Arabidopsis thaliana: one gene and its partners. The protein of the gene in region 2 binds, or shares a complex with, the protein of the main gene of each other region. Each region holds a gene or a part of one and is shown on either strand. Other genes may lie near its edges.

What was found.
Region 1: VEL1 (region 2) and SWN share a complex: the UniProt entries of both Arabidopsis thaliana proteins name them as parts of the plant homeodomain / polycomb repressive complex.
Region 3: VEL1 (region 2) and MSI1 share a complex: the UniProt entries of both Arabidopsis thaliana proteins name them as parts of the plant homeodomain / polycomb repressive complex.
Region 4: VEL1 (region 2) and VRN2 share a complex: the UniProt entries of both Arabidopsis thaliana proteins name them as parts of the plant homeodomain / polycomb repressive complex.

Annotation. Positions count from the first base shown.
Region 1 is NC_003075.7:883,137-892,487, reverse strand, and holds SWN (SET domain-containing protein), read right to left. Parts: upstream 5,909-9,351; 5' UTR 5,796-5,908; coding exon 5,760-5,795; intron 5,509-5,759; coding exon 5,389-5,508; intron 5,289-5,388; coding exon 5,023-5,288; intron 4,883-5,022; coding exon 4,724-4,882; intron 4,471-4,723; coding exon 4,386-4,470; intron 4,283-4,385; coding exon 4,139-4,282; intron 4,051-4,138; coding exon 4,003-4,050; intron 3,919-4,002; coding exon 3,847-3,918; intron 3,604-3,846; coding exon 2,999-3,603; intron 2,910-2,998; coding exon 2,762-2,909; intron 2,441-2,761; coding exon 2,220-2,440; intron 2,149-2,219; coding exon 2,017-2,148; intron 1,924-2,016; coding exon 1,836-1,923; intron 1,746-1,835; coding exon 1,698-1,745; intron 1,619-1,697; coding exon 1,490-1,618; coding exon of another isoform or gene 1,411-1,489; coding exon 1,333-1,410; coding exon of another isoform or gene 1,282-1,332; exon of another isoform or gene 937-1,281; coding exon 745-936; 3' UTR 501-744; downstream 1-500. Other genes in the region: AT4G02030 (Vps51/Vps67 family (components of vesicular transport) protein), read right to left, coding at 56-226; AT4G02010 (Protein kinase superfamily protein), read right to left, coding at 7,266-7,646, 7,750-7,897, 7,980-8,223, 8,345-8,716, 9,078-9,290. UniProt on the Arabidopsis thaliana protein: Polycomb group (PcG) protein. Catalytic subunit of some PcG multiprotein complex, which methylates 'Lys-27' of histone H3, leading to transcriptional repression of the affected target genes, mainly abscisic acid (ABA) responsive elements.
Region 2 is NC_003075.7:14,784,916-14,792,913, forward strand, and holds VEL1 (vernalization5/VIN3-like protein), read right to left. Parts: upstream 5,587-7,998; 5' UTR 5,364-5,586; intron 5,231-5,363; 5' UTR 5,156-5,230; coding exon 5,137-5,155; intron 4,221-5,136; coding exon 3,825-4,220; intron 3,749-3,824; coding exon 3,119-3,748; intron 3,037-3,118; coding exon 1,937-3,036; 3' UTR 1,617-1,936; downstream 1-1,616. UniProt on the Arabidopsis thaliana protein: Maybe involved in both the vernalization and photoperiod pathways by regulating gene expression. Binds preferentially to dimethylated histone H3 'Lys-9' (H3K9me2).
Region 3 is NC_003076.8:23,553,559-23,559,822, reverse strand, and holds MSI1 (Transducin/WD40 repeat-like superfamily protein), read right to left. Parts: upstream 3,812-6,264; 5' UTR 3,712-3,811; coding exon 3,367-3,711; intron 3,264-3,366; coding exon 2,937-3,263; intron 2,772-2,936; coding exon 2,619-2,771; intron 2,482-2,618; coding exon 2,357-2,481; intron 2,245-2,356; coding exon 2,149-2,244; intron 2,058-2,148; coding exon 1,829-2,057; 3' UTR 1,578-1,828; downstream 1-1,577. Other genes in the region: EMB3143 (YCF54), read right to left, coding at 56-265; FHIT (FRAGILE HISTIDINE TRIAD), read left to right, coding at 510-569, 652-766, 933-1,081, 1,184-1,282, 1,355-1,474; TTL (transthyretin-like protein), read left to right, coding at 3,962-4,243, 4,324-4,425, 4,511-4,667, 4,844-5,277; AT5G58210 (hydroxyproline-rich glycoprotein family protein), read right to left, coding at 5,778-5,901, 6,068-6,264. UniProt on the Arabidopsis thaliana protein: Core histone-binding subunit that may target chromatin assembly factors, chromatin remodeling factors and histone deacetylases to their histone substrates in a manner that is regulated by nucleosomal DNA.
Region 4 is NC_003075.7:9,473,022-9,481,149, reverse strand, and holds VRN2 (VEFS-Box of polycomb protein), read right to left. Parts: upstream 5,082-8,128; 5' UTR 4,943-5,081; intron 4,610-4,942; 5' UTR 4,443-4,609; coding exon 4,317-4,442; exon of another isoform or gene 4,147-4,316; coding exon 4,091-4,146; intron 3,921-4,090; coding exon 3,853-3,920; intron 3,756-3,852; coding exon 3,703-3,755; coding exon of another isoform or gene 3,681-3,702; intron 3,486-3,680; coding exon 3,432-3,485; intron 3,349-3,431; coding exon 3,289-3,348; intron 3,207-3,288; coding exon 3,163-3,206; intron 3,065-3,162; coding exon 2,934-3,064; intron 2,771-2,933; coding exon 2,584-2,770; intron 2,467-2,583; coding exon 2,418-2,466; intron 2,223-2,417; coding exon 2,139-2,222; intron 2,042-2,138; coding exon 1,962-2,041; intron 1,844-1,961; coding exon 1,754-1,843; intron 1,666-1,753; coding exon 1,425-1,665; 3' UTR 1,272-1,424; downstream 1-1,271. Other genes in the region: AT4G16850 (uncharacterized protein), read right to left, coding at 1-451; AT4G16840 (uncharacterized protein), read right to left, coding at 5,785-5,801, 5,990-6,236; AT4G16835 (Tetratricopeptide repeat (TPR)-like superfamily protein), read right to left, coding at 6,347-6,757, 6,828-8,128. UniProt on the Arabidopsis thaliana protein: Polycomb group (PcG) protein. Plays a central role in vernalization by maintaining repressed the homeotic gene FLC, a floral repressor, after a cold treatment.

The DNA of each region.
Region 1 (9,351 bases), about 14 Mb from region 2:
TATTGACGCTTGTGTTGACGATTCACGAATATTCTGACAAGAAACGAAGACTAACCATGAGATCCATGTACTGATCAGCATCAAAGGAAGTGCTGTTGATGTTATCGAAAGAGGCGTTGATGGAGGAACCACTCGTCGAGATTGAAGGATCCGGTGCGTAGAAGCTCGACAATAGATCTCTCATTCTCTTCGCCTTTTCGTCCATCGGAGCTGCCTCCGTCGCCATTTTTCTAAACTCCTGCTTCTTCTCGACGACGAAAATATCTGTTACCGGAAGCAGAATTTTGGCGTCGGAGATTCGTAATGTGAATTGAAAAAGCAAGAAGAAACTGGATCCGACTAATCAACTGGGAAACGGATCCGTATCCGATTCGAACCGGAATACGGTTTAGCAGTCGGATTACTTTTTATGAGATTAGGCACTGGTTTAGTGTGATTGGTTCGTTCACTTATTTTAAATCAGTTTTATTCGTTGAAAAGTACATAGATTGGCTTTAGCTGTTCAAAAATCCATAAATTTGAAACTATTTTTCGAAATGATACATTTTTACTTATTGACCCCAATAATTCATAAATTGTTTTATCACCTATACAAAGTCCAAACTCGATGTCAAAATAAAATAAAATCTCAACTCTATAATAATTAATTAATAAAGACAAGCTTAAGTTATCAAACTTCAAATATCATCTCTCACAACTCTATAAGTTATTTTTATAAAAGTTACTTCTCTTAGCCAGTAATCATCAATGAGATTGGTGCTTTCTGGCTCTACGATGAGTAATGGCTGAATCATCTTTCTTGGAGCCTTCAGGTTTGCGAGCCCACACTGGTGCTTGGTCTGGTCCATATCTATAGTCATAGAAAAGCTCTTCGCTAGCTTCTATTCGTTCGTTTGCAAAAATCCCGACCCTGTGATCTCCTGCTACAAACATCACCTACACCACACAGAAAAAGACACCGTACTTATGCGGGAAGCGATGAGACCATGGTTACTACGACAATAGACTGAAAATCGCTCTTTTTTGTAAATAATTAACACCTTTCGAAAAGGGTTGAATAAATCTAGCAGATGATATACACATGTTACTTTACACATTACAATCATAAAGATTGTAGAAACAAGTGTGTTTTGATCATAACCTACAAAGCTAGATTTGATCATCTGTTTTCTATAGTGCTAATTGCGATTAGTTTCTACAAAATGTTATAATCCTAGTCCTCCTTCTAAATGGAACTTTTGAGTGGCTAGAGGTGAGAAAGAAGGTATAATTACTAACCGATCATGTGGTTTTTTCATACCAAAATGGATATGAGAGAGAAGCATTTAGTACCTTAGCGTAGCAATTGGGTTTAGCTGAGTGATTGGCAAATTTCAGCTTGTCACCTTTGCGTTGAGCATCGAGGACGTACTGCAAATATCAAAAGCTTACTGACATATGCGAAATTCAAGAGGAAACTATCAGAAAGAAGGGTGAGAGATTTGGTCACCTGATCATTCAAGTCAAAGAGGAAGGACGAATTTGCCCGGTCATATATTTTCCCACGCTTATCCGCCTCATGGTGTGAGATCAATTCACCGGTGTATTCTCCAAGGTATTCATTTTTGCTGACCGAGTTCTGATGATCAGATGAGGTTCAGATTACATACAAGAGGTATGAAACAGAAGTTAATGAGGAAGATATTCACATGCTTTACCTTTAGAAAAGCACCCCATCCAGCAACATCAGACTTTCCCAATAGGATCTGGTAAATATAGCACATGAGAAACTAGATTTATCAACAATGAATGCATTTTATTTTTAGTAAATACATGATTTGATGACAGTATTATACCCTCTGTTGTTGCCTCAGGAGAAGTCTCATGTTTCCGCATTGCCCTTCTCCGCGTCTTGGTGCTTCACCGAGAGAACCATCTCCACAACTGAGTGAATAAGCAAGGCATCTTAAGTTACTCATCAAATAGTAGATTTGATTGTATATGGCACATCAAGAGATCTAGATTTAAAATGACTACCTAACCCAGCAATTTCTGCAAACATCTGGATCACATTCTCTGCCAGCAGCAAAGCAGGGACACTGCCTACTTCTGCATTGACTCTTTGCACAATGACATCCTCGGAAACGATTTTTACAGCTTTTTGAGCACCTGAATTAAATCAATGGATGGTTATAAGAAGATCCTCTGTTACTTCAATTGACGTTAATTTGTTTGCATACCCGCAATATTTCTCGCAGCAAGTTTCATTAGTTAGACAAGGGCAATCCTTTCCGCACATTGACAGGCATCCACACGGCGTGTATTGTTTACAGGACTGGTTTTTGCCACCAGCTATTCTTTTCCAGACAGACGGATGACCAGCAGACTTTGTAGAGTATTTTAGCTTCCGGGTTTTGCCTTTTCTACGGAACAATCTTGTCCTTGGAGGCACCTCATCATTCTGTCAAGTAAAGTAAGAGAGCGGTAAACCAAAATATGATTCTGACAGACATGGCATGCTAATATCAATAAAATCTCAAATAAAATAATCACTTGTCTAAGCCAACTTATGGTCAACTATCGTTTTCTCTTGTCCAATGCAGGTATCAGGGAAAAATTAAGCAAGGAAATTGGCTTTTCCGGATCAGAACTTTTTTCTTCTGGAATAGATCTCTAACCCTATCAGTCTGACAAGCTAACTTTCAATACAACAATGCCCAAAGTCGCAGATACTGCAGAAAATTTGAAAAGACAAAAGACCCTAGGAAGATCAAGAGCTTACATCATTCCCTGGGTCAGTCCTGCCATCATCCAACAGCAAATTTGGGGTACTAGATCTTCGAAAAACTGAAACTTCGTTTTCACGCATGTAATTGGACACATCTAGGCATGTCTTCAAGCCAGAAAGCAGGTTTCTTGCAATAAGACAGCTGAGATAGCACGGACAAAACATACTAGATGTAAATACGTTATAGGTGTTCTGTGTTTAAAGATAATAATTTACCAAGATCCAGTTTACCTGTTTCTTCCAAAGATTTCGACTCCCTTCAAGTAAAGATCCTTCTCGATAGGATTCCACTCTGTAGATGGTCGACTTGTCTCAGACATTTCTGCAATGATTATTGCTCCGTTTCCACTACCATGGTGTGGCTGACAAATTGAGGAACCACCATCATGGACCGAATTGTCTGGAATAGGCTCACCTACTTCTTTTGCATCAGCTTCTGAGTCTCTGTTTACTTTATTGTCAGTTGTTCCACCTTGATCACCCTTTGTGCTATCCAATGCCTGATCTAAGCTAGGGACAGAATTAACAAATGACATTTTTGTATCTGAGGCTGCGGTCTTCTGTTTCTTGTTCGATAAATTAGGCAGATCATTGGAGTCTTTTAGAATTGGGACCTCACGCTTTCCTCTAATTCCATGCTCTTGTTCTACACCAGAGGATGAATCTACATTCTTGATACCAATATCAGTCTTCTCAACTTGCAGACTGACACCACTAGCAGCAGCATGGGGAACATCAGAGGAGACAGCCTTGCTGCATTCCTCTTCTGAAGCTTTCTCTTCTGCTTTAGATGCAAAATTACTGCATGTTTCTGGTACTTCTCTGACCGCCTTGAGCTAAAATCATTAACATAAGAATAATGGTGATTCAAACTCTGGAACCAAGAAAAATTACTGCATAAACAAGACTATGCACTAGTACAACTACAATGAAAGATCACTCCTCTAGCAAACGCATACATGCTAAACCTCAATCTAGGTCAGAGCATATATTCCATGATCTCACTAATGAATATAGTTTATTAACTACGAATATACAAATCACTCTGAGAATGTAAAGAGACAGAGAGAGAGATAGACCTGGAGGTAACAATGTTTGCTGCAGGGTTTCCTATCACCTTCATAATCAGACCAATAAGGCTGTTTTTCACTCTGTCAACCAAAGTTCTCTTGTTATGTTGTCCACTGAAACTTTAGCAATACAACTAAAGAAAGTAAAGACAAATTCAAGCTTACAGCACTAATCAAAGGCTGAGAACATCCATGCAGACGACAGTCAAATACCTGTTAGAAATAACCAAAGAAGGATTAACATGATTAACAAACACTTAATAATACATGCTCTCTCTGTCACAAAGAACAATCCAAGTACCAAGCAACGGCGGCAGAAAAGATTATCAAAAGAATCTAGAGCTGCACCAAGGCCCTTTTCCAGAGATATTCCCAGCTTGAATCCGGAATTAGAAAATTCCTCGGTATTCTGCTTATCCTTCAACTTGAGCTCATTGTATCTTTCCTGCAGCAGACAGGAAAGCCAAACATCATTAGTGAAGAAGAATAGGAAGACCAGAAAAACATCATTAGATAAACCACAAGAACAAGATGACTAAAAACTGCACCAGGATATCAGAAGCATCTACGCTTAGCAACTGGCAAAGGGCATCCTGCACTTCCTCACCCATGCCATACTCCTGCCCAATTAACCTGCCAATTCAAGTCAAACGAGGTATGAAGAAATTCATATATAGTGAGATATATTTCAAACCTAATGCTAATGAAGAGTCTTACAGAATGAAATTTGATATGAATACGAAATATGACATCTTTTTTTAGCATCAACAAATGTGATTCATTGGTTAATAAATTCCACCCAGGTACTTCTTCAAATACCAGTATCACAATTTTTCCCCATCAGAGTACATGAGAGTCCATAATTTACACTCTCTGCAAAACTAACCATATAATGGAATCTTCACCCTCGGAAAATTCACGTTTTTCCTCCTCAGGTTCTGGTTCTTCCTCACTATCGCTGCATATTAGCGTCTCACCACCATGTTGTTCATAGTAGATTTGTCTTCGACCAACCACAGACTGATCTTCAGCCATTCTTTGATTTCTGCATGGTTAAGATATTTTTTCAGAAAAGAAAAACAACACATAATATGAAAACTGAATTTGATGTTCTAGTCTATTGTTCAACTGAATTTAGAATAGCATGCTACCAACGCAAAAATGAGAACTAGAAAAGGTGCATGCCTGTCCAAAAATATCCAGGTAGTGTATGGCGGTATTCTCTCAGCAATAGGAAGCTTGACACTTGCTGATATAACATCCTTAGTAGGAACATAGTCTCTATCTCCCACACCATGAGAAAAACCATTTAACTTGCAGAGTGGCATTCTCATTCTCGAAGAAAGCATATTGCTATTTCCATTATCCTCTGCGGTAGCTCGGCTCGATGCAGCAGATGAAAAGGGAGAAACATGAGCATCCACTTTCTTTCTATTAGCCTCAAATTTCTCCTACATTCCCAGGAAAACAATCAAAAACGGATAAATGATTTCAAATTTTTTAGACATTAGTATAATTAGTAAAGAACATCAAGTATAGAAACTCTCTTACTTTAATAGACCTAACTCTTTCTCCTTGAATTTTCCTTTTAAGCTCACTTAATCTGTTTTCCAAACCCTCGAGTCTATCTTCTTCTTCTTCACCATCATCATCATCATCTACATGAGACTTCTATTCAGAAGCCCAAATCAAAACAAAAATCGTGTAAAAAACAAAAGCAACGAGGAAAAACACTAATTCTATAAGGTCCATCAACTCCAACAGTGAACAAAAGTAAGAGAGCGATTATAATTTGATGAACTCAAACGGATTTCACGAACAATCAGCTGAAAAAACGCGAATGATCATGCGCATACGAGCAAAATCAGATAATAAATCAAAAAAAAAAAAAAAAGAGGAGATTGAAAGGTAAATCTGAGTACGATTCGTCCAGAGGAGTTGCTATCGTCCGTCACCATTGATGACTCCTCGAGCTTTCCGCTTCTCTTCCGCTCGAACTTTCTCTCTCTCTCTGCTTTTTCCGCAATCAGACTTGTGAGAAGGACGAACGGAGTGTGGACTGGAAGGGGGGTTACATTACATACAAAGAACGCCACACGTGTGAATGAATAGTGCTTATACGTGTGTAATTTAATTAGTGGTTTTGCGACAATTATTTTCTATTTGTGATTATAATTGTATGTTATCTTAAAGATAACTATTACGACATGCCTGGCTCTGGAGCCGTTGAGGCTAATAATGGCTAATATTATTAACGTCAAAGTCTCTAGAGCCACACAGGTTATAGCAGTTACGTTTGAGATAAGTATTAGTTGTAAAGTAATAAACTCTGAACGTAAAAATATTAAGATATTTGTGATTATAATTGTATTTTATCTTAAAGGTAACTACTATGATTTGTGTGGCTTTAGAAACTTTGACGTTAACAATACTAGCCATTGAGGCTAAGAATATTAGCTGTAAAGTAAAAATCTCTGAGCGTAAAGATTTAAACTGTAAAGATTTTTTTTTTTTAACATATGTATGCTTCTTATAAACTTGTAAAGGGAGATACAAATATCTTTCTAACCATAATGGTGGTACAGAGAATTAATTAACTGAGCCTTTTTAGATAAGATGTCCGCAGCTGCATTTCTTTCCCAATTAACATGTGCTAAGGAAGAGAACGGAAGCTTCACCATCCAATAACGAATATCATAAAGAAGAGTGATGATCTTATTATGATCACTCTGCGTATTGATCAGATTTACTAGCTCTGCATTATCGCTCTCAAACCACACATAAGTACATAATGTAGTCCTCGGGACCAAGTCACTTGAAGGGCATGAAGAAATCCGAGAGCCTCTGCTTGAAGAGATAATTGTGACGATTGAAGTTGAGCACGCCCTGAACTAAGGAAACATCCATTGCAATCTCTGTAAATCCATCCTGAATGTATGACAGTCCTTTCCTGAACATAACCACTATCAAAAATAATAATAATAAAAACTGTGATTTTAACTAATAAGAAAGGAATTACTTTAAATATTGGTTTGATACCATAAAAATTATATTTAAAATATTAGTTTTTCAACAGATTATATTTTATTTAGATTATTCCATAAAAAAAAAGTATTATACTGTTACTTTTAGCTGTAAAAACTTTTACTGTAAAAAGCCTTTAAAAATTAACAGTACAAACTAATCACCTGTACATAGTTTTTTTATATTGGAAAAAGTATATTCAAATTCTATTTGTATATCTGATGGTTGTGGCAAATATTAATTAATTAACGCAAAAATATATACAAAATTCTATCCTCCAATAAAGGAGAATCCAAAATCCAAAGAGCTGTAATAATGTCCCAAACTCAAAAGCTTCTCTGGTGGAAATTTTCTCACCGTAAGTGGGAGAAAAACAAATAAAAAGAAGAAAACCCTGGCTTCTATCATCGGCCTTCGTGAAGATCTTCTGAGAAAACAGTTGTTCGTGTAATATTTTCATGATCAAAAGCGCTTAGACCAGAATAAGGACCAGAAGAGAACATAGAAGAGGTTACTTCTGACTCGAACGTAGCTGATGATTGTCTCCGGTTAGGACGAGCTTTATTTGAAGTGTTTAAAACCGGGTCTTGATACTCAACCACCCGTTGAACCATTTTAAGTGACTGAACCACTTCGCCCATCGTTGGTCTCTGGCTAGCTTCAGGTGCAACACAAGCTGCAGCGATTGTGCATACTCTTATGAAATCTTCTTTCGGGTATTTTCCTTCAAGTCTTGAATCGACTAGTTCTTCTAACCGGTCTTTGTCTCTTAAAACTGGCCTTGTCTGCATCCAGAATCAAATTTTTACATTCGAGACTTCAAAAGCTTAAGTTTTCGACAATGAAAGTGCAGGAAGATCTAGGAGATGACAAGAACTTTCTACTTACCCAAGTGACGAGATTTTCTTGGCCTGAAGGTTGTGACATATCCACAGGTTTTCTACCAGTTAACAATTCGAGAAGGACCACACCGTAACTATAAACATCACTCTTGACGAGTAGGTGTCCCGTCATTGCATATTCAGGCGCAACATATCTGAAAACAGATCGCGGATTCAATAGGCAACTCAGAATTTAAGGTTGTATATGAAAACTGTCGAGAGATATGAGCAACTCACCCAAATGTGCCCATAACACGAGTAGATAAGTGATTACCCCTGCCTTCAGGAGCTTGTTTGGCTAGGCCAAAATCTGCAACTTTGGCGTTGAAGTTGTTTTCAAGGAGTATATTAGAGGCTTTAAAATCTCTGTGTATAACGGAGGGTTGCGAGTCTTCATGAAGGTATGCAAGTCCTCTTGCAGCATCAAGTGCAATCTTCATTCTGGTGTCCCAATCAAGAGGACAGTTCAACCCGAGAGGCCCTGAAGCATAAACAATGACTTAAATAAACCACTCTTGTAGATGAACTCAGTGTACAATAACTACTTTTGACAATGTCAGATCTAAAAATAGGCAGCAAGGGAAGCAAAGAGGAGATATTACCATGGAGCCAAGCCTCGAGGCTGCCATTTGGAACAAGCTCATAACAAAGTAGGTGCTGAGAAGAATCTCGACTACTATAGTAACCCACAAGTTTCACAAGATTACGATGATGAAGACGGCTAAGCATATCAATCTCCACCTGGAATTCTTTATCACCTTGTGGCCCACCACTTGTGAGCTTCTTAATCGCTACAGCAGTACCATCGGCTAAGATGCCTCTGTAAACCTTGCCAAACCCACCTTCTCCTAGAATGCTAGCAGATTCAAAATTGCTAGTTGCCTCTTTGAGTTCTTCATATGACAGAAACCGTGTACTTGCTGGGTGAGGAAGAGATCCCCCAAATGAACCAGCGTCCAGGTTCCTTGGTTTTACTGAAAGAAAGGAATATGCGATCAAGTTTTTACTAAGAACAAGAACTAAAAGTTAATTGCCAGGATTTAGGAAAGTAACATAAATCACACTGGTAAGTGGACAGCAATCATTCATCATCTATGTATCCCCATTTTTCTCAATCCTTTTGTTTGATTCCTAAGGTCTGTTGGCTTTTTACATAAGGTCTGTTGACAACTAACAACACAACTTTAAACCCAATATAAAAGTTGACATTATCCCAACATCTATGCTAACTTCCCAATGTGCTGCTCACATGATGTGTACCTTTTGACATGATTCACGTATTCCTAACTGAGATCGGCCTATAATTTAAACCTTGTAATCAGAAGAGGTACATACCAGCTTCTTTGTGAGGATCTGGAGCTTTCTCTTCTCGGAGTGCGCGGGAACAAATAACAAGTACAGTGATTATGGCAAGTATAAGCACACCAGCGGCTATAGAAAAGATAAGAATAAGATTGGGATGCCTCTTTTTCCCTGGAGATCTTACTGACGTAGTTGCTGAGGATCCTTGTGATGGTGCTTTATGAGGTGAAGAAGCCACTAGAGGTGCTGCAAACATATTAAGACCTATCTTAGTGCAAATGCAAGGAATCATGGTGATATACTCCAA
Region 2 (7,998 bases):
TTTGCGTTGAGAAACGGTCATATGACCCCTGGTGATTTGGAAACTCATCATTTTATCAAATAGTGAGTTATTTGATAGAAATGAACAAATTCGTTAGTTTAATTAATTTTATGCTATTTTTGTTATTGGCATAAGTTTTGAAAACAAATTTGGTATGCCTATATTTTCTTCAACGCACATGAAGATATCTTCGTTTATCATTTGCATCGACCAACTAAGTTATTCGACTAACCAGAACTGATTGGCCTAAGAAAGGCTCTCACTTAATTTACCTCTGCTCATTATAGGTTGGAAGCTTCAAATAAAAATTAGGAAATGTCCCCAAAACAATATGGAAAGGAAACACAAACTAATTCTATAAGATATTTATATATATATATATAAGATTAGTGGAATATGGAGCATGCTGGAAATAACAAAAAATGGTTTCAGATTGGATTCTTTGATCATATAATCAGACATGGTCATTTTGTGTCCGTTTCCTACTTTTTGCAACTTTAAAAAAACTATGGGTTGAGTATATATATTACTCTTTGTTTTCTTGTTGTTCTTGCTAAAGATTCGCTGAAATCATAAAATATTTTCAAAGGTTTCTAAGAGAGGAATAATCGTAACATGCCTTTGTCCATTTTTTCCAACATTCAATGGACCAGCTTTCTTCTTCTTCTTTTTCTTTCGCTTTCATGTGCCTTTTCTTTTTCTACCCCATGATTTGGTAAAAAGAAATATTATGTGCACACTTCTATTCATGGTACAACAAGTTGGATACTTGGAATCATTATTTCCTTCCTTACTGTTGATTCAAGTTGTTGTATATAGTGTATATATGTACCAACTACCAAGTTTCTTAAGTCAATAGAAACAAGTGAACAAGAAATTCTCAACATGTTAGGCCCATAAGGGTCTCCAATCATTTGCCCAAAAGCACATAGATATTATTGGGCTGTTAGGCCCATAAGGGTCTCCAAACAATTTGAGAATAAGCTTGAAACATCCTCAGATACACTGCAGGAAGAAACTAATAGTGTAGTGGTTATTGCAAATCACACATCCGATGTTGTTTGTTGGGTTTGGAAATCTGGATGTAGTGTTGCATTGCAGGTTACTATATGTCAGAGGTATTTGGTTCAACACACTTGAGATCAAACCTCATAATTTGTACTTAGTCTGTGGTTCGTCTAGTTTAGGATAGTAGAGAGTAGACATGTAGAGTGATTGTTGCAAACCACCCGAACGCTGGAGAAAGTCACTATCGTGCTTCTAAGATCAATGAAGCCAAAGAGATGATGCTTGGAAAATTCAACACAACACTAGTTCTGCTTTTTGACATCTGTTTGATACGAACCCCAATAAAACTATATATATACTTTCATTGCTTGTTGTTATGAATGTACGTATACAAACAAACAAATGTGATGTATATATTAGAGAAAACAAACAAAGTGTCTCTGCAACCTCTTTGTGCTTAAATCAACTAATGGAACCCATAATCAAACCAAAAACCTTTATGTGATGATGAATGACGATGACGTATTAGTTTGTTGCATTTGTTACTGCAGTTTTCGAATTCCAATAAAGTTGGATAGCTTTATTTACAAAATATAAAGTTTAAACAAATTTAATTTCGAAAGAACTTAAAATCTTCACTGTTCTCACAGCTTCATACAAAGAAATGGTCATTTTCATAACCTACTTGATAAAATAACATAATCCAATAGTCAACGAAATAAGAATAATTCAGTCTAGGACTAATTACTAAATTATAAATGGAATCAAATCCACTAAAAATAAATAAATAATCCGACAAAGACGATCTATTCGATAGCAACAGTACTACTGTTCTTGCATGGAAATGTTCCAATAATGCAAATTTCCCAATAATTAGAATAACGTTTTGAAAATGACTTGAAAAAAACAGAGCACAAGTTCCCATTCTCTAATGCCACAACTTCATACAGAATCCAGATGGAACAACTGCAGACGCACCGCTACCACCAACCGCAGAACGCTTTATCGAAACACGGTCGTCGAAAGTATCAATGAGCTGCTCAGCCAAAGCCATGGGATCATCAATAAATGTATCAATGAATATCTTCACAACTCTAATCTCTTGTGACGTTGCTCTCAAGCTATACCAAGTCAGAAACTTCTGTCTGAAATTCTTATCGATATGTCCTGAACACTCGAGTTGTCTTATGATCTTCACACAATGCTCTAATCCACTTTCTGTTCCTCCATTCGCTGAATGATCACCGTTGTTACAGTTGTCTTTCATCGATATTTCGATTCTAGCTTGACGGTTCTTGATTTCATCTGACCTGAAGGGAGTAATTGGCAAACTCGCATCTGAACTGTTTCGATTACCAACAAGACTTTTCGTAGTAACCACGACTGGAGTTTCAGATTCCGTCTTATCCAGAACAGCTTCTTGTTCTTCATCATCCAACAACACAATCTGCTCAACGTCCTTCTCAATCTGTACAATGTCTGAGTCGGTTGTCCTCTTCATCCTTTTCGCAGCACTTTCATCGACTGAAGGAGAATTGTTGTCTTCGTTCTTTGAAGATGGCTTCTTTGGGACAATGTAATCGTTGTTGGACTCAGCTTCAACAGAAGAAGGATTAGAAGACAATGTGCTGCAATTTGTGAGAGGGCTTACGCTTCTTTCCACTGCCGAAGAGCAATTCGCTCCTTCTTCAGCGCTACGTGTCAAAACATTGATTTCATCAACGCCCATTTCTCTGGTTCCACTATAGGACACAACTTTGAAGCAGTACTCAGAAGCTGGAGCTAATCCAGAGACAACAAATCTTGTGTTTGGAATAAACAATGTGCAAGTCGATTTCTCCGGGTAATCTTTTTCTGGTACCTTACGATGCCAAATACTGTAGTGAACGATGTTTGGAGGTGAGGGAATTTCATTAGAGGCGAGAACCACTGTAAGTGAAGTCGCGTTTACATCCTCGAACCTGATCTTGGTTGATCCTGTGGTTGCTGTATCTGCAGATATCTCATTGCTCAATACATAAGAACAATCTACGAAACAAAATCAGAGAATCAACATTATTCAACAAACTTAATATATTACTCAATCATTGAAGGGTACAAAAGTTCTGACCTTGCTGCATCTTGGAGCTGCGAGGTGAAGGTAATGCAGCAACATCAGGAGGTGTAGTTGCTATAGTTTCAAGAGATTCAAGAGCAGAAGAGCAAAGTTTCTGCACATCGGGTCCCGAATGAAGTCTGTTTACAATTCCTCTACCCATTTTCATAGGAAGACCAGTGAGAGGACCCACATCAGCTTCAAGAGTCTTGACAGCTTCATCCACAACCTCACACAGATTTCGGTATTTAGTTGAGCTCTTCAATAGTTTCTGGACTAAGAAAAGACGGTAACAAAGCACTTCTACCCTTCTGGTTTCTTTAGCAATCGTCAATTGCTTCTTCCAGCATTCAAGCAAACTGTTTGCTTTACCGCAAGAGACACAATAGAAGCAGCATCCCTCACTTTGCTTGTCTTTTCCAAGACCGGATTTTTCAGTGTTGAAAGCACATTCAAGATGACACGAGAATCCGCAAGACTCACCCTCAAATGGAGGATCTGAGCTACATGTTAACCAGAGACTAGGATCTTTGTTATCATCATACTTACGACAGATGCAACATGAACACCTTCTGCAAAACGAGTCTTCCTGTCTCAGTACAGCACGACAAGCCAAATTTTTGCAGTAGATGGTAGTACTCTCACCTGACCAAATTCTATTTCCGGGTTAGTATGTACAAAAAGGTTGATAACTTTGAACCAAAAAAAGAAGACTGTTTACCTTTAGTATTAACCGAGCTGCAGCTCCCTGAGGCATTGTTGCTTGTTACAATGTTGGTTGCTGGAATCACATACCGAGAAGGATTATCAACCTTCCTTTGTCTCTTAGTGTTTCTCTGAATAGGCAAACAATCAGAATCTCTCTTCTTCCCTTCACACTCTCCAGAGTTTTTCTCAGATACAATTTTCAAAAGGGTCTCGATGATCTTGACTTTGGTCAAACCAGTATACTTCCTTTCTTTTCCCATTTCTGCGCATAAGATCTGTAGAATCTCTTGGCGGCTCCATGCCTGCAAGACCTCAGCAGCTAGATGTGATTGCTTCGACAGTTCATAAACAAGCTGTCTCTTCTCATCAACACTCATTTCACTGCATTTCGATGAGTCACCTGCAGCTCCTGCATATAGAAGAAAAGGAAGTCAAATTATGTGAACTCAAAGTGAAGGCAATGGAGAACAACAATGTCTTAACCAGAAACACACAAAACTATCCAAGACTAATAAAAGAATGTACCAAAGAAACTTGTGTCTGATCTTCTTGTTTACCAAAACTAAGAAGAATGATTCCAAATTCAAATAAATACAAACACAAAGCTAATTTAGAATACTGAAAACTAAAACACTTTATTCATCTAAAAACAAAGATAGTTCAACAACCACCACAGGACAACAATGTTGATAAGGTTGGGTCAATAGACATCAAAGAATCAGAGAGAACCAAACAACATGACAAAGGAAAGATCAATGCTCTTCAAGATGATTCTGAAACCAAAGATCCAAAGCAAAGAATGAAAGCATGATTCTTTTAGGTAACAGAACCCACATTCATCAATCATGGAATCTTATTCTATACACAGAACAAAAGTCATATAGTCTTCTGACGCACGATTAAATTAAAAAACAGAATTCATCAAACCAATGATAGTGGAAGAAACACACACACACACATACACAGAAGAATATGAAGTTAGAACCAATCAACCAAAAAAAAAGTAAAGACCCACCATTTAGAATAATCACCAATTAGAAAACATAAAACTTGCAATAGAAAATAGAAAGATTAGTAATCTAAACTCAGTAGCAACTTAGTAAAAAGTATATAAAGTCTCCAACTTTCGAAAACAATTGAATAAAATAAACACAAATTTGAGAATCCAAAGCTTCATCATTCATCATCAAAGCTAAAAACAAAGAGAAGTAAGACTATTTATTTATTTTTGAAAGTTGAAACATTATTATAGGGAAAAACAAAGAGACACGGATATCGATAAATCTTAAGCAACCAATGAAACCCAGAAATCTAAAAGTGAATACCATCGAGAGAAGAATCCATGAGCGTAGAGAAGCTGTGTGTGAAGAACTAATCAAACCCACATTATCATAACAACCACTCAGAATCTTCAAATCTCTGCGATGTGAAGAAAACATAAAAATTAGGTAAAACAATGGAAAAAAATAAAAACTTTTATTTGGGAGTGAAATAATAAAACAGAGGAGAGAGAGAGAGATCGGGAAAAAAGTATAAAAGGAAAGAAAGTTACCCAATAAGGAAAGCTTAAGAAAAATTCGTCGAGCAACGAAGAGATTGAATCGGACGTTTTTTTTTTCCTCTCTCCCTCTTCGGAGAAATTCCCGGAGAACGGAATACACCGGAGAAGAGAGAGAGAGAGAGAGAGAGAGAGAGATTCGCTGTGAGCGGAGAAGAGATAGAGAGAGATAGAGATTGTCGCTGTGAGATAGGAAGAGAGAAAGAGAAAGAAGATGGGTCTATGGAAGAGAGAGAGGCCTATAAGAGATGCAGTTTTCTGGTGGGCCCCCAAAAAGGGTAAAAAAGAGTTTATTTTAATTTTTTACCCTTTTTTTATGTTCACGTTATTTCTGTGATTTTGGTTTCGTAACGTTCGTAATTTTCTGTGTGTTTAAATTTTATTTTACTTTTTTGAGATTGATTAGTAAATTCTTCTTCTTTTTACAGTTTGAATTGTTTTATAGTAGAAAGTGAAATATAAGATGGTCAATTATATCATGTTTCAGTTTCATATATAGGAACTTTTCAATTTTAAGGAAATTTCAAAGTTTAAAAGGAATTGTTTTCGTGAGAGTTAAGAAAATATTAAAAGAGGATTCGTGAGAGTTAAGAAAAGAAAGTAAATTGAGAAGATATATGCTCCTAATAAAACAAAGAGGATTTCTACTTCCTACGAGTCACTCACGTATATAAAATAGGTATGCAATTGATATTATTTCATATTGTATAATTATGTGACACTTATCTCATCTTAATTTGTTTATTTTGGAATAAGCATGTTGCGTAATAACACGTGTTAGATAGACATTGGCAAATTTGTATACGTGTGTGTTACGGGAGCATTGGCTATCATCACAAACGGGAAAAACTTGGATTTGAAGGGTATAAAACGACATGTGCCTAACACAGTACACCTGCAAAAACATTGTAGCAAATTTTTTTTTAAAAACATATATTAGTGGTAATTGATAATTTGACCTTTATTTATCAATACAGAAATATTGTTTTTCGAAAATTATTTGGATCACAAGTAGTCTTAGGTAGATATGGATAAACATGTTGGATTCTTTTGGAGTTTTGGGTCTAGTTTAGCTTAAATTAATAATATTCGAGAACGCATATCGAACTTATATAAGAATAATCTGACCGTTAATAGCACACCTAATCTGTTTTTCTAGGTTTCTTGTCAACTGTGAAGACGCAGATTTCTATTTCTAGCTATCACGAAGAGTTCAAGAGTTTCAAGTACTGTATCTGTAGTTTATTTCTCGTTTATGTTTTGTTTATTGTCTAAAAGTTCTACATCTCTTAATTAATTTGTATTTACATCGGTTAACAATCGTGTACCCATAATTTTTATTATGCCAAAATATGTTACGTCAGACGAACTGTTTCTAGTATACAGATATGGTCACATGAATCAAGGTACTGGACATGAAACTTACGATCTAAATATGTAATATATGGTACGTTAGACTTAGCGATTAGTAAAGACGATAAATGAAACACATATAATTAGCAACAGCTAGCATATGAAGATAAGTAAAGTACATGGTCATGCTTCTTTCGTATCGTTTAATTTGTTGTTATTGAATCTCCACCTAACCTAGTTAGCAATCATCTATAGCTATGCCATAGTAAAAGCTAGCTAATATTAGTACGGATAACATACATGTTTATATTGAAAAAGTGAGGTTTATAATTTTTCAAATTAACAGCTCTTAAGATTCAAAATAATGACAAATATGTTATGTCTAAAAAATTGTTTGATCCTACGTACGTGTAAGCCAAAAATCCCGTTGACTTTTCATTGACATGTTTAATCGGTGTAGCCAAAATCAAAGCGTCCAAGAATTTTAGATCAATTTTTTTATGTTCGGTGTGCACAGTCGTAAGTCGTAACAACCATTTTTGGCTACTTTACATCCAAAGCATTATGTAGTAGTGCGAAATATACGATCGAAATAGGTCTTACTTTGATGATAATAAATTTTACATAAATGAATATATGTAACACCATCATCTGTATTGGTGGGATGATTGAATGAATATTTTTTATGCGGAAGTCGTGCATGGTACATTGTTACGAGCTGTATTTGACAAAGAATCCTATATATGTATGCAAAAAAAACTGTTAGACTTAATGGTGGAAGTATTGAATAATGTGGACTGGCAAGTGGCAACATACCATATATATAAAAGAATATTAAACTATAACAATTTTAATGTTATCATCTCATGTGGTCCCTAAAGGGGTTGTGAATTGTGATGGCATTACCAACAAAAAAAGAAAAACAAATCATGAATCATTGCATGGGGTAAGTACGAAAAGTGTGATAAAAAAATCTCATTCACATATATTTCATAATATTTTGTCTTTGAGCAAACTATATAACATTAGTTTCAAGAAATAAAGCATTGGTCGTGAATAGTATTTATTTTACTTTTCGAGGGACTATGGATGATGAGATCAAAAACTCAGAATGCTAATTAAGTTTGTAAAAACAAATATCAAGATCAAATTTGGTCATGCCATAGCCCTTTTTAGACTCGTCAAAACATGTCATTTTATTTTATTTTGTATTTCGTGGTTAGTTGCAGATTAAACAAGGTTGCAAAAAGTAGTGAATATAGTCTAGTGGTTTCGT
Region 3 (6,264 bases), on a different chromosome or scaffold from region 2:
CTGTTTGGTTTGATTGGTCAAGAGGAAAAGAGAGAGAGAGAAAGAAAAGAGAAACCTTGTTAACAGAAGACTGTTGCTCGATGGAGGTAGCTGCGGTTTTGAAAGAGGAGGAGAAATGTGATGATGGTAGAGACAGAGAAGGCGAAGAGAGATGGAGTTTCTTTGTCTGCTTGGGAAAGGAAGAGGAGATGAGAAAGGGTTTCGTACGGCAAGCGGCGGCGGTAGGCGGCACCGCCACAGTCAATGCTCCGGTGACGCTCCACATTTGCTGCTGATTAGAGTCTGTTGATCGAGGCAGAATCTGTAAAAATCTTATCTTTTTTGCCGGGGGTCATCCATTATTATCATCACTCTCTCTCTCCCTTTCTCAACTCAATTTTTAATTGATTTTAATGTTATTTGGGCTTCAGTAATGGCCCAATAAGGTGTTATGGGTTTCTTCAAGCCCGTAAGAAAGAAAAGGGAAAGGCGTTAACTGTGACTTTCATGGCGACGGAGGCGGAGCTGAGATGCTGAACCTGCAAGTAACCGGGAAGACGATCTTATCTAGTATTCGTTGTCAGAGAAAGGTAAGTTCCTTATACGATCCAACATTTTGTCTCTACTTTACAAGTTAGAAGGATTGATTTTTGAGTGTTTTGATTGCTGCAGATGTCGTCTACTTGTTCTTCGTACGCATTTGGGCCGTACAAAATCGATCCCCGTGAAGTGTTCTACGCAACGCCTCTCTCTTATGCCATGGTTAATCTCCGTCCGCTTCTTCCTGGTATGCCTCATTCCTCTCTAATTATTCATCGAACCTCTTCAACTTTCTTCTGACCTTCTTTTTCATCTATTTTTTGCAGGTCATATCCTTCTTTTTTTTGTGTGTTCTTCATTTTTCGGTTTTGTTTTGTAAATTGAGTTCTATTGGATGACTTTAACCAGACGAGCACATGTTCTTGTCTGCCCGAGACGCCTTGTGCCACGATTTACTGATCTTACAGCTGATGAGACCAGTGACCTGTGGCTTACTGCTCAGAAGGTTGGCTCTAAGCTTGAGACCTTCCATAATGCGTCTTCTCTCACATTAGCCATCCAAGTAAACTAAACATCTCCTTTCTTTCGTCATTGTTTCTTGCGTCTAAATCTTAATGGATTGGAATTGAAACGATCTAACTTTGGTTTCATGAAAATGGCTTAGGATGGCCCTCAAGCGGGACAGACTGTTCCCCATGTACACATTCATATCTTGCCTCGTAAAGGTGGTGACTTTGAGAAGAATGATGAAATCTATGATGCTGTAAGTTGTTGCATTTTGATCACATTCCTAGCTTTGGTTTTATACAAATCTTATGGTGGTATCTTCTTGTAGCTTGATGAGAAGGAGAAGGAACTGAAGCAGAAGCTTGATCTAGATAAAGACCGGGTTGATAGGAGCATTCAGGAGATGGCTGACGAGGCTTCCCAATACAGATCTCTTTTCGATTGCTAGTTATCATTTATCAATATCAAATCAAACCAAGCTATCCAGTAGCTTTAATAAGGACCATTGTGACAAGTGACTTTCAGTTTGAAATTTTATGTCAGAGACTTTGATTCAAATTTGTAATTTCTTTCTAATGTCGCCCAATCTGGGTATAAACTAAGAGTTATAGCTTTGGTTGACACTACTTAGTGAGATTAGAATCAACTCCTTCATGTTATAAAGAAAAATTCCCACTTGCTACCATCCTCTCATGCCTCATTTTACACAATGAACACTAAATACTTGAACTAAACAATAGCAGAGATGTATAAATAAATACTGTCCCATAAGATCAGTGCGCTTTGGATACTAAATAACAAGCTAAGAAGCTTTTGATGGTTCTTCCCCTGGAGCGTCATCCTCATCATGATAGATGTTTTCAGCCATTTGCCATATTTGGAGTATGTTGTCCTCAGCAACACTGGAAATAACCCAATCTTCACAAGGGTTCCACGAGAAATCTGAAATTTTGCTAGTGTGACCACCGTGAATAAACAGCAGCTCAGGTGGGCCGTCTTCTGCGTCCTCCACTGTCTGTTCCTCATCGATCCTATCATAAGACACCCTCAAACATATCAATATTGCTCCTCCATGACCATACATGAACATTAAACTAAAGAACTAAAGTCTACGGCCCAAACCTGCTAAGGTCCCAAACCATAAGTCTTCTACCAAGGCAACATGAAGCTAAAATAGTCTCGTTCTTTGGGTTCCAACCAACTTGAAAAACCTCCTCTCTGGAGATCAAGCACATAATTAAGGTTAGTGATGTTGCTGTAACTTGTAAATACTTCTTAGTAACACAAAATCCATCTCAAAGCGGCAATATTTATGGCGTATCATTCTTACTTGTGGCTATCAAATGTGTGAAGAGCGGTGCTTAGCTTCCGTAGATCGAATAATTTAACAGTCTTGTCAGTTGATCCTGTTGCCACAACCCACTCATTAAATGGATTGAAGGCTAAGCAGTTAACCTAAGGCATTTCAAACAACTCAACAATTAGCAAATACATACGAGGCAATATGATTCAATGGTTTTTAGTGTTAAGGAAAGCAAGCTTAAAAACCAGAAGTATTATCTGTATCTAAAGCTAATATATTGCAAACTCACCTCCATCGAATGAGCAACCACAGACTGTACTGGTTTACTGGCAGATGGAGAACGCAGATCCCATATGAGAAGGTATTGGTCATCTCCAACTGATCCAAACAGGTACTCATGTCTCAGATGCCATGCAACATCTTCCACAACCCCTTCATGAGCCTTAAGTTCAGAAAATAATCATCAGCAAGGAAAACACAGAAACCAACCTGAATATCTATCTATGAGCTTTCATAAGTGTAACTGATTCCGTTAAGTGGGTGCAATTCCTTCCTTTCTAGATGATACAAAACAAAACTAAAAACGAATAGAAATCCAAAGCATTACCTTAAAAATCTGCTGAGCGTCCAGAGATTTGTTTTTAGGAGTAGCGTTAATATCCCACAAGCAGATCTGAGCATCATCAGAGCCACTAAGCAAATGACCCTGCTTGAACTTACTCCAAGAGAGACCATATCCCTCAGAGCTGTGACCTCTAAGCTTTAAATCAGGATTACAAGCCCCATCAAGAGGAGGCTTAGATGGATGCTTACTGTAATCGAAAACATAGACCTCCGCATTAACTGTCTTGGTAGCAATTATGAAAGGGTTTTGAGGCATATAGCGAGCTCGATTAACCTCACCATCATGATTTATCTGCTGGATAATTTGTACCTACACAAGCAATCAAACTAACATTTATCATCCTTTACCTCGTTATAACCCTAGAATCAAATCTAGAAAGTTGGAAATGAGAAACAAAAATAAAAAATCGCACCTTTCCAGTTGCACAGCCAAAGCCACCAAATTCAGAGCGGTCATCATCGTACTGACGAGCTTCACTCTCGGTATCGTCAAGAGGAAGCTGAACTTGGGCTAGCATCAAGTAATTGGGCTCGCTCTCGGAGGTATGGGTACCGAGAATCATCTTCTGAACGGAGTAGTCTTTACCGGAAGGTTCTTCACGGTCAGGAAGCCATTCAACAGTAAGTGAAGGCCACTCGAGAGCGTGAGTAATAACGAGATCGTAGAGGAAAGGAGTGTTCTTCTTCCAGATCTTGTACTCTTCATTGATTAGTCGCTCCTCGATCTCACCTCGCATTTCCTCTTCGTCTTTCCCCATATCGGCGATGTCTTTGTTATTCCCGCCACAAGAACAAGGCAAAACCCTAAAACAGATCTCTTTACAAATTGTAAGAAACTTCTCGCTTCTGTTTCTGAATAATTCACATATAGAAGATGATGAATAAAAAAAGGAAGAAGATAAAGAAAAGGCCCATTTTTGAAAAGCCCGTTTATGAAAAGGCCCAATTAGATGACTTTTGATCTTACACCAGTCAACAGAAGTGAGGATTGGAGAAAAGAGAGAAAAAATGGCGATGGAGATCGGAGAAGATGAATGGAAGGTTTGCTGTGGAAGCTCCGAATTCGCGAAGCAGATGTCTACGTCTGGACCGTTAACTTCTCAAGAAGCAATATATACTGCAAGAGACATCTGGTTCAACCAAGTTAATGTGACAGATTGGCTTGAAGCTTTCTCTGCTCATCCTCAGATTGGGAATACTCCTTCACCTTCTATCAACTCCGATTTTGCTCGTCGGAGCGTATCAGAACAGTCAACCGCCTTTGCCACAACTTCTGCTTCTGCTTTACAGGTGATGGATCTTCACTTTTTTTTTCCTTCATCTCTTCAGTGATTTCTTCTTCTGATGATCAATTGTTTTCAATTTCTTAGGAGCTTGCCGAATGGAATGTACTTTACAAAAAGAAGTTTGGCTTTATCTTCATTATTTGCGCTTCTGGCAGGACTCACGCTGAGATGCTCCATGCGTTAAAGGTCAACTTTTGCATTTCCAAATCAGTTTTTGTTGAGTGTGAGTGAATGAGAAAGTTACATATTCATCAAATCGTCTCTTTTTCAGGAAAGGTATGAAAATAGGCCAATAGTGGAGCTTGAGATTGCTGCTATGGAACAAATGAAAATAACAGAGCTACGAATGGCAAAGCTGTTCTCCGATAAGGCTAAAGTTATATCAGAAACTGACAGCTCTAGCTCTCCTGTTTCAACAAAACCTCAAGGTATATTGATGATTTACCAAATCTTTTCCTTGTCAAAGTTTTGTGTTTGACTGTGTGGGTTTGAACCTGTTAGGATTCAGTATGATATCAAGTATGTGTCTTTTGGAATACAAGGATTTACCCTTATGGCTATCTTTGTTATCTGTGTGACCTTTTCTACTTTCTCGCTTTGTAAGATCGTCTGAGAATCATTGGAGGGCATTTGAATGTTGCAGCTGAAGCAAAAGCTCCCAAGAGAAGTAGGCCACCGATCACGACTCATGTCTTAGACGTCTCACGTGGTGCTCCAGCTGCAGGTGTTGAAGTGCACTTAGAAGTGTGGAGTGGTACTACCGGTCCTTCCTTTGTTCATGGAGGTGGTGGGGTCTGGTCCAGTGTGGGCACATCAGCTACTGATAGAGATGGGCGCAGTGGGCCACTGATGGATTTGGTTGACGCTTTGAATCCAGGGACATATAGGATTAGCTTCGACACTGCAAAGTATTCCCCAGGCTGCTTCTTTCCCTATGTTTCCATTGTATTTCAGGTTACAGAATCACAGAAATGGGAGCATTTCCATGTCCCACTGTTGCTTGCACCTTTTTCTTTCTCCACATACCGTGGGAGCTAGAGCTATGCTACTGCTGTCTGCGGCACCAACTTTCCAACACATTTTGTTTTGGTTGTACCACTACGGGAACATGTATCAAAATTGCTATGAAATGAAGTCTTTATTCGACATGTATAAAAATTGCTATGAAATAATGTCTATTCGAGTATTTATTTGGATTTGTAGTTCTGTAGAACAAACAATGAATTAGCGAAAATACGAGCTTTGATCTAGACTCATTGTGAGTAGGACAACGATAGTATAGATTACCATGTTAAACATCTTGGGAGATTCTATACCTTTGTACAAAATGGTCGATCACAAAACAAGCCTCTAAAACTGTTGTGTGTTTTAATCTAGACTCATAGCCAGCAGGACAATAATAGTCTAGATTAAGACATCTTGGTCGATTCCAAACCTTTGCGCAAAATGTCAAAACAAAACAGCTTCTACTGGTATACTTTACACACCTCTACCTACCCTTCCTGAGCGTGTCTAAAGCTCCCTGGCTATATCTACCCTCATCTCCAAAAGTTCGCAAATTCTTTCGCAAATGACATTATGTTGCTCCACGAACTTGACCTTTCTTTCACCTCACCAGTTTCCGTCTCTTTCACCTCACCGGCTCCTGTCTCTGAAATTTGTCTGTAAAAACAAAAGATATAAGAATTCAAACTGAAGTGGTGCCAATATGATCAACTTGAATGACTTTTTCTATTACTCAAAAACAAGAGATCCATCAATGAAGTAAATTATCCTAATATAAGGATCGGACCAGTAAAGAAGAGACCTAGTTGTATGCATTTGATACCTGGTCTCAGTAGGCACAACATCTGCTGAAACATCAGCTCCTTCAAGATGGTCTGCTTTTGACTCTTGATTGCCTAAGTGCGTCAAGTTCCTCTCTTCATCAGTCTCCGAGTTTTCTATTCCCTGAGTTGCCTCTGTTTCTCTTTTGTCATCTTTTGCAGTAATGACAAGGTTGTTGCCCTGGAAATTACTTTCATC
Region 4 (8,128 bases), 5.3 Mb from region 2:
GACCGTAGACGATGATGGAAGTTGCTGTTACTCGCATCCACGAAGACTTGACTGAAGCAAATGACGACTTCAGAGATGGGTTTATGCCTTGGTGTGAGAAGGAAGTTGATGTGATGACAGTTATGGAGGCCATACAGGAGAGGATAAAGGATGGGACGAAATACCGGAATTTGAGATGTAAAAGCGAGACAGCATCTTCTCTAGACTCTTGCCAAATCTGTCTAGCTTCAAACCGTGTATGCACAACGTTAGCTAAGGCTTCTAAACGAAAGACATGGTTTTTAAGGCGAAAGGAGGTAAGAGTTAAGGAGAGGTGTAAGGCTGCGAGAGGGATCGCTATGAAAGCAAAGATTGGTAATAAGATGTGTTTGTTTCTGAAAAGAATCATGAAAGAATCAAGGAGTGTTGTGGTGATCCGCGTGGAAGAACCAGGTCGCTTTACCTCAATCATGATTTCAAAAGGCACATAAGAACCTCCTTAAGCTTCAACCACTGTTGGGAAACTCAAAACAGAGTCGACGATATTATGCTTCTAGAGACTGTAGTCTTGTATAAGACCTGTGTAATAGTGAAAGCACCAAACTTTAAAACAGAGAACCCAAACTAGTTTAGAGAACAAACAATGTTGACCAAAATGTTAAGACTTTATCTACATAGCCCAGAGTATATAGATTTCCAACAAGTTCGAGTTACTTGAAGAAATATGAGAAATTTGATGGTATGTTTTGTCAAATTTTAAAGCAAATTATGTGATCCTTTGAACCAAAAATGTGCATTGCGAAATCAAACAATTCGAGAATCAACTAGAAGCAATGAATCCAGAACTATGTTTTATTACCTAAACCATCAATCTTTTAACAAAAACGTAAATTCCGATTTCCGATCTACTGCTAAATCCCAACTCTTACGAGAGAACGGGAATAATTATGTTAGTCAATTTTATCACTTGACTCCGATCTAGTTTGAAATCGAGACAAACCTGAAAGATTCGAAAACACTGATTGGTGGTGTCAAAGCAAAATCGAAGAAGCTTGCTGCTTGTGAGGGATTCATTGAGAAAGAACAAGTCAAAATGGGGTTTTAAGCTTAATCACTGTGTCTTAATTAATTTCTTGATTTGTTTTCAATCTATTTGCACTTAATATATATATTTTTATGTTATGTACTTGATTAATATATAACTCCTATTTACTAGAGGTCTAGAGGAGCTTTTTCTCAAGTCAAAAAGAAAAATTAAGGAAACTTATCTTATTTTTCAGTCTTTAGTTATTAAGGAGAATCCATTTTTTTAACTAAAAATGTAATCAGTTGAATACACTAACAAATAAAATCTTTGTTTGCTCCTAAACAATTTTTTTAAGAAAGAAGAATAAGTTACAATCCGATAGATCGGTATCATCTAAACCGGAGTGTTTCCTATTTAATTACTTGTCTCTGCTGTTATTGTCCTTGTTGTCAACATTGTTCTTGTTTTTTATGTCATTCGGATGATCCACAATGTTATTGTTGTTGGTGTTTGAGTCACTGGGATGATCCACACTGTTGTTGTTGTTGTTAGTGACTGAGGTATTACGGCAATTCTCGAGGATGGTATTGCAGTTGTTGATGGTGGCTGAGTCGACAAGTCCATGGTTCCATAGTTTAATCAAAAACAATCTCCAACACCTGGAATTTTTTATTTTTCTTTCAGAAAAACGAAACAAAATTGATAGTGTAGTTATGTGTCTGTATATGTTTGGTGTACTTATATTACCAGAAGAGTGATGAGTAACAGTGCAACTCTTTCTCGTAAAATCTTGAAAATACTTCACATGCCCAAGAGATATGACCATCTGCTATAACCCTGCAAACATCAATCATAATTTGAGCTCAAAGTTCCATAAGCAGAATCATTTAGACAGGTATGGAATGTAAGACATAAGGTCTTTTTGTGTGTGTTCAAGTGTAAGAGAAGTAGTTACCTTTGTTTTCTTACAAACGAGTTCCAAAGATGCATGAATTGCTTTTCATCTTTATTCACATCCACAAAGTCATCAAGCATCTGCAGCTTTTTTAAGTTTCAAAAGCCATTAGCAAGTTACATCGTATACCATTTTCTGTTGCCTACTTAATGAACGCAGAAAGAAATCATGGAATACCTGGCGATCTTCAAAATCTGCAACATCGTCATCGACTTCATCCTCGCTATCCCGATCAGACATTACTTGCTCAAGCGCCATTGGCTTGTCACAAGAAACATGCAGTTTTTGGTTAGTGGCAATAAAACGGAGACAACATGGACATAATTTTTTTGCGTTGATACATACAGAATCAAAATACAAATTTAGATGAGAACAAACCAAGTATGCTTTGATAAGATATCATCATGAGCAATTTAAAGAAAATGCCTAAGAAGTAGGTGAAGGAACTTGGATCACCTGGACTCTGTGAGAATGATAGAATTGGCGTTTCTGAAGAAGTAGGTGGCTGGAAGAAATTTTCTCGGTTAATATGGCAGTACAGTAAACACTTATCCATAATAGGAAGAACATTTGTAACAACAGGTATGGTAATTATGATGACGGGGTGTCATGATGAACAAACCTTCTAGCCTCTGATCGCTCAGCAGATAACTTTCTTGTCTTAGTAGCAGGGACCACAGCTTCGGTTGTTAATATAACTTTAGCACCAGCGTCCAGAGAAGAGTGGGCTATGGCTGGTGGAATGTTGCTAGTCATCTCAAATTGTCCAGCAAGCTCTGTTGCCTCGGGATATCCTAAACCACGGTTTCCTGTAGCATGCCATTAATTTTGTACATCAGTTCTGGTAACATTACCCTCACAAGAAGAATGCGAGGAGAAGTACAAAAACTAAACAATCAGGACATTGTATCTTCTTCTGTAAAATGAAGTTCTAAGCCACAACGAATACCACAGAAGAAGATGTGATTTTACCATCATTCAGCAGGGCAATTCCATTTTCTGTGCCATTAGCTAAACTGGGTGAATCCAACGGTAAAAAGCATACTTTAAGTCTCCTGGTGTTATTTCTGCCACCTCTTTGTCTACGCTTACGAGGTTTCGAGCTGCAAAACATTGTGGTTGGATTTATAGAGAAGTACTGACAAGAAAAGCAAGGAGTTACTGCTATTAAGGTATTTAATCAAGGGGTTCTGAGAGTTACCAGAGAGAGAAGGGCTCAAATTTATCATCATCACTTCCTTCTTCCTAGTACAAATAAGGATGGAATATAAACCAAATTTTCACCAGCTATAGGATTTCCCAATTAACCAAGTTTAAAGTAACTGACCTCAAATATGAAGGAATTAAGTTTTACAGAAACATTAACTGTCTGGTATTCTTCCAAAAGCTACAATAGGAAAGACCCTTTTTTAACTATAACCTCATTACTAACGGCATAGGCAAAACAAGAAATTCCATAAAACCACATACCTTGAACTCAAATTCAAATAAATCATGAGATGAATTCAAATGAAATTGCAGCCCCTGCATAGACACAAGACAATGGATTGTAAGCTCGAACTGGAACATGTTTTCTCAGATAAGCACACACTCAGCAGTTTAAAAAGAGCAAGAAGACAAACAACAAACACAAAAATATGTAACCAAACAGTGAAAGTATATAGCATTAAACGGCAGTAGCATTTCACAGTGTTAGATATGAAAGGCCCCGGAAGAAACCTCAGTTGTAATAGTTGCCCACCTTGAAGCTACCACATAGCATAGAGCAAAATGGACAAGAACAATCCTCCCTAACTGCGTGACAATACAGAAAAAAATAGTAAATAACAAATCATCTAGAGAAACATAGACATTGACATCGAATTTTGTCGAAGAACAGAAAAAGACTAACCTTCAGTTCTTTGTAATGTATTATTACAATCCTTATAGTTGAAAACTACCATCCCAGTAGATCTTGACCTAAGCAAAACACAATTTTGTAAAATATAAGTGTATAGCATGAACAAAGAAGAAACCATTCATTATGTCCATATCTACTCAACAAAGATAAATAGTTCATCAGCTTCCATATTAGAAGTAAGATAAATAACATATCACTGTGGCAACTACATTCAAGAAGAAACGCATACTTTCTTTTGCGCTTTGCCCCAATTTTGTAGTTCAAGCATCTTGGCAGAAACGATGGCTGCAACAACAAACAACAAGTTCAAATAACATTAGGAGACAAAAGAAGCACACACTCGCCATGAGTCAGACCATAATCAGCTTAGCAAACTCAAACTATTAGTGGGTGATCTACACAGGAGATGAAAGATTACTAAGCTAAAATGATGAGAGAGGAAGGCCAAATCATACGTTGCCTAGAGAGCGAAGGTGAAAGATGTTATATAGTCGAACAGGTTTACAATATATCAAGAGATTCTCATCAGTTGAAATCACTTCCTCCGGTGAGGATTTCGCGCGACAATTCTGCCTACACATTCTTGTTCAAATACAATCAACAACGTCCAGAGCTGATTATGAAGTTAGTGCAAACTCTGAGGCCTCCCCTAAATTAGAATTTCCCTACGTCATATTGTTCAACTCCATGCAACAATTAGAACCGCCTCTTCTGCAATATGCTTATATAGAATGTCTTGTATTGAGGCCTGTGTAATAAAGAAAGCACAAGACTTTTTAAGCAACTCAGAGAGTTCATTCAAGACATAGACAAGTTTAGACGTATTGCAAAAATGAAAACTTTATCCAATGCCACTTAGCAGAATCATCATACTTATCAAATTAAAATAAAATTATGTGATCTTTTGAACCAAATGTGTATGAAGAAATCTTAAAAAAAATTCCATCGAGATCAACGATTCCAGAACTAGAATACGATTCCGGATCTACTGCAAAATTTCAAATCTTACAATATAATTGAAACAATTAGGGTTATCAATTGTTATTACTTGACTCCGATTTAATTTGAGATTGAGACAAACCTGAAAGCTGCGAAAACACCGATTGGCCGTGTAAGAGAGAGAGCAAGCAAAATTGAAGAAGCTTGATTGGGAGATATTCACTGAGAAAGAAAACAAGTAAAAATAAAACTTTGGGTTTCAAGTTTTTCTTCAAGTCTGGGCCTATGGCCCATATTTTAAACCGATAACCATTTAACACGTATTATTATTAGTCAATAAATAGTTGAACTTTTTTTTTAATTAATAAAATGAAAAGAAAATACAAGCAACTTGGACAGCTTAATGCCTTAATCCACTAATATTTCTAAAATTGTTTTTTTAACTCTACCATGGCAGTACAGTGAGTATTAGAGGATTTAAAACCATATTCACCATTGATCTATGCGTGGAGGATGAAGAAATTAAGAATCATTGATCTATACTTTTCACACTAAGAATAGAATCTTCATGACCTTCAATTTTGATTTCCATTTGTGTTTTACATAAATAGTCAGAGTTTAAAATAAATTACTGAATATGTATTTTGATTCCATTGTTTAACTCTAGTTGAGTTGGCTAGCTGAAACTCACAGGAACATATAATCCTAAGGTGGCATTAAGTTGAAACTAATCTTTTTTTCGACCAATAGAATGATTAATGGATAACCATCAGTGTTTTCTACTTGAGTTGTGTGATGTATATCACTGAAATATTAAACATACATTTCATGAAAACGAGAGATCCTTTTGTGTGTCTACAGAACCAAAAATTACAAATACGAATGGTTTGCGGCACAAAATCACCGGCGGTAAAAGAATTGTTTCCTTTCCCAAAACTGAATATGAGTTCCCATGGAGACAAGACAACATGTTGCTTTTGGAACTCAACTCCTTAACGCTGCTGACAAATTCCAAATCCATCACCGATTTAGTATTATATGAACAAATTGAAACCATAATTCAACACAAGATTCTAACGTTGCAGAGACATCTCGATCCTCATATCCATATGAGTCTTTGTAAAATCCCTAATTAAGTTTCACAGATCAATTATGGATTCATAGAGATTGAAACAATTTCTCGGCTTACCTGAGTAAGAGGAGAGCCAGAGGATTGCGACACAGAGAAGAAGAATGAGAGGAATCAAATGGATGACGTTTTCTGAAAATCTGAATCTTGATTTCTCTCTCTTCCCCGCTTGAGAATTCGGATCGTACCTAGGCAAAAGCAGCTCCACATCATCTTCCATTGCTGTAACACTCTGAGATCGAGGCGGAGACCTTGAAGTCGCCGGAAAATGATCCAAAACTCTAGAACCACTCGCTGATCTACGCATCTCTCTTCTTAACGGCAACTTGTCAAGTCAAAGGTCGAAACTTTACCACACAATAACGCATATAAATACAGTCAGGTTTGACCAATGAGAGAGTCAAAGCTCTTCTCTTTTCACCAGTAATCGCCACAAGAGCAAGACCCATCTTTGAAATGGTGAAACCTTGTGGTGTCTCTTACAATGATCTCTCGTTTCTCTATCTCCGAGATAAATTTGATTGCTTTATGACAATCACCACAGATTCTCAAGTTCTTGAACACTTGTATCTGTGAACCTTGAGGGAGTTTTATGCAACCAAATGCAACAGCTAACTTCTCGCTGTGCCATAACAATAGCTTCTCTTTTTGCTCTTCCTCTACATTGTGTAAAGCAAACTCTAGTTCCGGTTTGTATCCAGCTAGTTTCATCTTCTTCTCCAACTCCTTCAGTTTCTTGTGTATTGAGTCTAGTTCAGGGTGAATCCGATCACTTGATCTGAAATGGTGAACTTTGTTTCGTATTTCGATCCAACTGTATCCAGGTACCTGAAACAGTCAAGTAAATACATTAGAGTCTTGTAACTCGAATAAAGAATCGAACTTTGACTCGCTCTACCTTCACAACATTGCTCTCTTTCATTCTCTTGCGAACCCTTGCAACGTCTTCCCAACGATTCTTCGATGCGTAGATATTCGCAAGCTGCACATACCCGGCTGCATTTTGCGAGTTTAGCTGAAGCAGTTTCTCAGCTGCAAATTCAGCCAATTCCACATTCTTGTGCACTCTACAAGCCCCTAAGAGCGTCCCAAAGACCGCAGCATGAGGTCTAAACGGCATTGATCTTATCAGTTTCAATGCCTCCTCCAGCTTCCCAGCCCGACCCAAAAGATCAACCATACACGTGTAATGATCAGGCTGCGGTTCTACCTTATAATCTCTCACCATCGATTCGAAATATGCCATCCCAATATTCACTAGTCCAGCATGGTTACAGGCCAGTAAAACCGCAACAAACGTTATCCAATCCGGTCTGATCTTGTTATCTATCATCTCACGGAACAAACACAGAGCCTTATCCGCATTACCGTGCTGAGCATACCCGGAAATCATTGCGTTCCACGCCACAACATCTTTCTTCTTCATCACCTCAAAGAGCTTCCAAGCATCACCAAGTTCTCCACATTTGCAGTACATACTGATCAGAGACGTCAATGCTGTTACATCATTACACAATGTAGATTTACTCACTATCTGATGTATTTGCCTCCCTAATTGTAACGCCGATAATTCACTGCATCCGAGCAATGCGCTGCTTAGTCCAGACGAGTTAGGCCTAATTCCTTCCTCAAGCATAGCTCTGAAAAGCTTCAATCCATCTTCTGGCCTAGAATTTTCAACATAACCAGAGATCATAGCATTCCAAGTTACAAGATTTTTATTCACTGTCATGTCTTTGAACATTGCCTCAGCTAATTCAACCTTCTTGGCTTTCATGTACCCTGTGATCATCGCCGTCCAAGCCACGACGCCTCTAACTGGAGCCACTTTGAAGAAATGTGATGCCTTTTCCAAATCTCCGCATTCAATGTATCCAGAGATCATGGCATTCCAAGAAACTTCATTCTTCTCCATCATGGAGTAGAACAATTCCCGCGCTTTCTCCATTTCACCTCTTCGTGCATACCCTGTGATCATCGTGTTCCATGACGCCGCATCCTTGAATGGCATCCGATCGAAGAAGCTCTGTGCCTTCTCGAAGTTAACATTACGAACGTAGCAAGACAACATAATGTTATAAGAGAAAGTATCTGGTTCAGGGATTTCGTCGAACAGTTGGTGTGCTTCCATCATTCTGCTTGGATCTTTAGAAATCCCAATGAGCAGAGAATTCCAGGTAATGGTGTTCTTAGCTCTCA